2 linked regions of the Mus musculus genome follow. The protein of the gene in region 1 interacts with the protein of each later gene in a biochemical or structural test. Links are inferred from orthologs where the notes say so. Each region holds a gene or a part of one and is shown on either strand. Other genes may lie near its edges. The genes, in order: Aurka and Incenp.

Region 1 (2,760 bases):
TGTGACCACCAAAGTTAGCATAATTCTTAGTAACTAATATTTAGTTTACACTCTGATTCAAAGCCGACCTGGGCTACAGCGTGCGACTAATTTTGGGGGGTAGGAAAGGAAAGCCCTAGAAAGGGAGAGTCTATAAATGAAGGCGGCAGCCGTGTACCTCAGGGGACGTCCTGGGTTCTGTAGTCCTGTTTGGCTGTTTGGTTTAGGGGTCTAAAGATTTTATTTTTATTTTACAACGTATGGGTATTTTGCCTGCATGCCTGTCTGTGCACATGGATGCTTAGTGTCCAAGGAGGCTAGAAAAAGAATTGTCAGCTGTGGGCTTGAGTTACAGATGGTTGTGAGCCACCATGGGGTGCCGAGAACTGAATCCAGGCCCTCTGCTAAAGCCTCCCATGCTCTCCACAGCAGAGCCATCCCTCCAGTATCTTGCTATGCAGCCCAGACTCCACTCCAAGCAGGCATTCTCTGGCCCCAGCCCTCTGGCTGCTGCTGGGATCACAGGCGTGAGCCATCACACCCGACTAAGATCTGTTTTTAAGACAGTCTTACCAGACTGATCTGGAACTCAATATCCTTCCCTCTCCACCTCTCAGGTGCTGGGATTAAAAGATAAACCAGCACACAGGGCTTGGTTATGTTTCCCTCTTACCGTCCACACAGGTGTGTGTGCTTGCTCATAGCTGCTTTTACTTAAAGTACCGACTTTAAAGCAGCTATAAGATTTCATGAACAGAGCCGGGCAGTAGTGGTACATGCCTTTATTCCCAGCACTCAGGAGGCAGAGGCAGGCCTGGTCTACAAAGTGAGTTCCAGGACAGCCAGGGCTATACAGAGAAACCCTGTCTCAAAAAAACCTAAAAAAAAAAAAAGATTTCATGAACAGCCGTAGACGTGAGTTGGATGGGTCTGGGGGAAGTTTGGTGGCTCCATGCTTCCCCCTGACCATTTAGGTGGGCACCTGTCTGAGCGCGCTGGCCTGCCATAGTGAGCGCTCATCACATCACCACATGGTATGTCTGTGTGTCAACCCCAGTCTCCGTTTGGTTTAGGAGAACCACAATGTGTGGCACCCTGGACTACCTGCCCCCAGAGATGATTGAAGGCCGGATGCATGACGAGAAGGTGGACCTCTGGAGCCTCGGCGTTCTCTGCTATGAGTTCCTAGTGGGGATGCCTCCTTTCGAGGCACACACGTACCAGGAGACTTACAGAAGGATATCTCGGGTGAGCTGCTGCTGTCAGGCTTCTGCCGAGGGCTGGTGTTTTGTTTATTCATGTTCACCTCTGACCCATGCTTGTGTTGGTTTATCATTTATTCTGCAGGTTGAATTCACTTTCCCTGACTTTGTGACAGAGGGAGCCAGGGACCTCATTTCAAGACTGTTAAAACACAACGCAAGCCAAAGGCTAACACTAGCGGAAGTCCTTGAGCACCCTTGGATCAAAGCTAATTCTTCCAAACCTCCAACTGGCCACACTAGCAAAGAGCCAACCAGCAAATCATCTTAGGGAATCCTGAACCACGGCCACCGTGCAACTGTGAGAAACACCCTATTGAAGCCACCCTCCTGGACCCTCATGGCTGCCCTCAGGGTGCCTTGCTGAGCAACTAGTCCTTGGCCATGCATCCAGGAAACCCCAAGAACCATGCTGCTTTTCCTGATTTAGTAATCTGGAGGGAAGGTTCCACTGCAGCTGTCCCCTACCCTCACCCTGGGCCTGTGCCCCAAGGTGTCCTTGTGGGGGGGGGGGTCTCACTGTGGGAAACTTACCAGAGATCACCTGTGTCGTAGCCTTCAAGTGCCAGAGTGTGTGTATAACTTATTGGGTCACCAGGCCTAGGGAAACTGTTGGAATGGGTATGTAATCTTTTAAATGTCAAAATAAAGATTTGCATAGACTTTGACTTTTAAGTGACACCCATTCAGGGTCTTGTTTCCAGTCGTCTGAAGCCCGTGCGGGATTTGGATCCTCAGCCACTGCTACGGAGCCTGTGCCTTGTCTTGAGACCTGACTCGGGGGTTTCTTTTTCTGCATGTTAAAGGCTATTTTTTATGTTGGAGTTCTGTCATGTATGCAAACTTGTTAAATATATATGTATACCATCTACCTGGAGTACGTGGGTAATCATTTGAGTATCTCTTCACTGTTGGCTAGCCATGAGCGACTGGTGTTTTTCTGGCCTGCTGGATAGTGGCCAGTGCCATCTGTCCATCAACCAGAGGGGGAACTTGGAATTAGAGAAACAGGCTTTCATGGCCAACTGGACCACCATCAGGAACTTGAGAACATGCCTGAGTGGAAGTCTATCCTCTTGGGACAAGAGGCCTCTAGTCATCCGTCCTGTGCTAAGGCTTTGTTGAAGTAGCAATATTGCTAGTACTGTCCACCCAAGCTGCAGTTAAGTGAGATGCAATCCAGGGAGGCAAACTGAGCACGGGACACTGCCTCCTCTAGCTCCGGCTAGTTTGTGACTATCCTACATGCAGAGGAGTGCCACATTCCCATGGCGCTCTTCCTGGCGGCAGTGATGGCTTACCAGACGGCAGACCGCAGACTTTTACAAAGGCTTTTATTTGTTTCAGACTGTAAGCCATTCACTTGGTCTGCTTAAGAAACTAGAGACACACAATGGCTTACATCTTAAAGTGGTTTCCTGGCTCCTGGTCTACTTAAAGATCACATAGGCAGGAGCAGCTCTGTGCGCCTTGCTGGCTTATACGGTGCTTTAGTTGCTTCACCTCAACTCTTGCTGTG
Region 2 (3,919 bases), on another chromosome or scaffold:
GCATAAGAAATGAGGGGTCCAGAACCATGTTCTCCAAAGAGACCTCTGAAACCCTCCCTAAAGCCAAAATGTCCTATGAATGGATGAGGGAGAGCGAAGTGAGTGCGCATGCAATGTGCTGCTTTCAGGAAGACCTGGCTGTCAATACCAGGCAAAAGACAATGCAGTGCCAGTTTACCCACTGCCTTAAAAAGCTGGGAGCTTGGATATCTGCCGTACGACCTGACTATATAATCCTAACAAAGGTCCTACACTAAGTGGGAGGATTCTGATACTGTCATATCAGGGCCCCCGATAAGCAGTACCCCAAGTGGTAAACACATGAAAGATCAAGAGTGGGTGGCAGCTATGAGCACTAATATATCGGATCCCACCTTATATAAGGACAGGAAGTTCCCACCATGACTTACACTTTCAAAAGCAAGAAGCATGCATACACACTTCAGCCTCTCAGCTACAGAAAAAGGTCAGGGAAGAAAGGGCTATATTACTGATCCTCTTGGAACATAATGCCATCATATACTGTGGCCTCTAGGTTCTTCCTTGAAGTTCTTCAGCCTGATGTATGAGGCACACTACCCTTTTGCCCTTCAAACAAGTTCTGGCCTCTAGGAACTCTGTCTCCTGTTTTGTACAGCTTCTTCACTTAGCTTTCAGCTCCTTAAGGAGGATCAGACCTCCAATCCAAGCCAAGATCTCACACACAGATTCCAGCTATGTGCACAGCAAATGAGTGATTGTTTATGTTTGCCTACTGCTGGCCTCTACCCACTAACCTGCTCTCTGAGGGTAAGCCTTGTGCCTTCCTCAGCAACAAAAGAGTCTGGCACTTGTGGAATGAATTCATTCATCCATCAACTAATCCTAAAGGTTGTCTCACCATCACACACTGGGACACTCAGTGAGCAACTCAGTAGGCACATGTTAGAACAGGCCAAAACACACCCTGACCTAACGGCCAAAGGCAGCACTAACTGGGGCAAAACCGAATGGATAGGGGCACTGAGCCTTTAGGAAAAAGCATTAACTGTGCAGCCAGCTACTCATCAGCATGGCCTCTCCACTGAGTCTCCCTATCCCCCTGCACCAGAAAACAGCCCTAGCCAAGTCCAAGGCCTCATCAGTTCAAGGCCAGCAAAGAGAAGAGAAAACTGCACAAGGACTCCAAAGACTTGCAGAGGAGCTATAAGAAAGTAACAAATGGGAAATTTTACAAAATGTCTGCTCATGCTACAATCGGAGTGAGCGCTTCTTTCACCAAGTCCAATACCACACTTCTTCTTCCATGGGGAAATGTGCTTTCTAGCAAGCCCTCGCTGAAAAGTTAGAAAAGGTGACTCTGAGGAAAGGAGGAGGTGTAACAAGAATCAGACTCCTGGGTAACTTCACCTTCAGTCCACGAAATAAACAAACCCTACCATGGGAGAAGGAAGGTCACTTCCTCTCCACAAATACTATTTCTGTGCCATTCAGCAGATTAGCAATTGCCATCTCCTCTGGGGGTGCAGGAAATGAACTAAGCATTTCTCCCCACACACACCCCTCCAAGCAGGAAGATCGATCGCTAAAACTGCTCTTCCACTCAAGAGTCCTACTCCATGCCAAGAAACCTCTCAATTCCTTTTTGCCACATACTCCAAGATACCCATGCACATACAAATCTAGGTCAAAGTCACCAAGAAAATCGGAGGGCGGAGCCTGGATTTAAAATGTTTTTTAACCACTAGCCACAGGCCTCCAGGACAATAGTTTCAAGCTCAGAATGACACAATCCCAACGCTTGGCAGCAGGAAGCTGGAGGGAACTGCGCCGCTGACAAGAGCCTACGCTTGCGGGGATGACAAAATAAGTAGCAGGGCGGTCTCCGGAGCTGGGTCAGTTTTTAAATGCTGCTCAGCTGGGACGAAGCTGAGCAGCCGTTGCCATAAAAAGACTCAAGTCCGGGTTTACAGAGCAGCCCAGGCTCTGCACAGGTGTTAGGCCCGGCGTGCGGGGAAGAGGACTGACCATTCTCGGATCCCAGGACTCAAGTGCAGGGCCTCGAAGTTCATCTCCAAGCCTAGAACCATTGGAAGTGATCCCCACACCCATAAGCAACCCATAGGCGAAAGTGACTCCCCTGGCCCATCCTGGGAAGCGAAGAGGCCGGGACCAGTGGCCGAACACCGCGACCCTGCGACTCCCGACGCCCGTTCTCACTCACCCGGCGGCGCCGCGTCTTCCCGGACCACTCCTTTTCCAGTCCGCGGCTTCCGCAGATTAAGCTTCCCGCCACGCCGGACCGGCTGGACTCCCAGTACCGCGAGCTCGCCGCAGGCGAGGACCTACCGGGCGAAGAGCGCGGGCGAATCTACGATTTTCAAAATTGTGGCTCAACCAATTCCCCTTAAGTTTGTCTGGGCGGTTACAAAACTCCAAACCAATCACGTAACAGGACGCACGAGTCCGCTTATCTGCTGGCTGTTAGTGCTGTCAATCTGTGGGACTAGGAGGCGGGGAGAAGAACGTTGACGCTTTTAACACGCCCCAACTTCCGGAAGCTGCGGCAATCTACCCGGCGAGGAAGTGGTTGCGACGAATTACAAGTCCCTGCGTGCACTGCGAAGGCAGGCTTGGTTGGGGAGGATGCCTATTTATCTTCGAGCCAGCCGCTTGGTTCGTTTCAAGTCCGGAATGCTTCTGCGTTCGGAATGACAGCTCTGCTACTTTGCAGTAGTAAAAAGAAACACATTGCAAATCTCACAGAGCCTTCCCTCCAAGAGCAGTCAGGCATATAGTTACAGAATGTTTCCTTAGACCTCCGATTGTCACCCGGAAGTGTTTGCTAAGTACCCTCCAGATTGGACGCCACATACAACGGAGAATTTTTCTGGCCACATATAAAGGTAAAGTCTTGAGTTGAAGGTGTGTCACCACCACCTGTAAAATAAAACACCTCCACCTTCTTTATAGAATCATTCTCAGTAGCCAAGAGGTGGGCGAAACTACAAATGTCCCTGGACAGATTAAACAGAGGGGTTTTATTTATTTTTAAATTGTTTTTCCTTTTATTGAAAATAGATTTCTTTACTCACATACTATATCCTGATACAGTTCCCCTCCCTCTGCTCCTCCCAGTTCTAACCTCCCCTTCCATCTGTATCCACTCCCTTTCAAAACAGACTTCTAAGGGATAATAATAAACTAAGATGTAAAACATAAGATAATACAAAACCTATCATATCTGAATTGGATGAAACAAAGAAAAAAAGCCCCAAGAGAAGGCACAAAGACCAGAGACCCACTTGTTCGAACACTCGGGAATTCCATAAAAGCACTGGAAGCCATAACATATATGCAAGAACCTGATGCAGAGCTGTGCAAACTCTGTCTGGCTGTGAGTCTCTGTATTTGTTCCTATCTGCTTCAGGAGGAAGCTTCTCTGATGATGGCTGAGCAAGGCAATGATCTGAGTGTAGCAGAATGTCAATCACTAGGAGTCATTTTATTGCTATGTTCCTTTAGTAGAACAGTAGTATTTAGTTTAACCCTAGGTCCCTGAGCTATCTTGTCTCAGATTGTTGTTCACCCAAGCAGGATTCGATCTTGTGGAGTGGGCCTTAGGTCAAATCAGATATTGGTTGGTTACTGCCACAGGTTTGTGCCACTATTGCCCCAACATACCTTGCAGGCAGACACCATTGTAGGGTTTTGTTGATCCCACCTGTAATGGTTTGTATATTCTTGGTCTAGGGAGTGGCGCCATTTGGAGGTGTGACCTAGTTGGAGTAGGTGTGTCACTGTGGGTGTGGACTTAACACTCTCACCCTTGGTGCCTGGAAGTCAATCTTCCACTAGCAGCCTTTGGATGAAGACATAGAAGGCTCAGCTCTGCCTGTGCCATGCCTGCCTGGATGCTGCTGTGCTCTCACCTTGATGA

The links.
Region 2: the proteins of Aurka (region 1) and Incenp form a complex in vitro, tested with the Homo sapiens proteins (3 studies listed by BioGRID and IntAct, with this or other methods). The link is inferred for Mus musculus from reciprocal best matches to the Homo sapiens genes AURKA and INCENP.

The regions. Positions count from the first base shown.
Region 1 is NC_000068.7:172,355,548-172,358,307, reverse strand, and holds the end of Aurka (aurora kinase A), read left to right. Parts: intron 1-1,052; coding exon 1,053-1,227; intron 1,228-1,326; coding exon 1,327-1,512; 3' UTR 1,513-2,118; downstream 2,119-2,760. UniProt on the Homo sapiens protein: Mitotic serine/threonine kinase that contributes to the regulation of cell cycle progression.
Region 2 is NC_000085.6:9,897,136-9,901,054, forward strand, and holds the start of Incenp (inner centromere protein), read right to left. Parts: upstream 2,355-3,919; 5' UTR 2,204-2,354; intron 1-2,203. UniProt on the Homo sapiens protein: Component of the chromosomal passenger complex (CPC), a complex that acts as a key regulator of mitosis.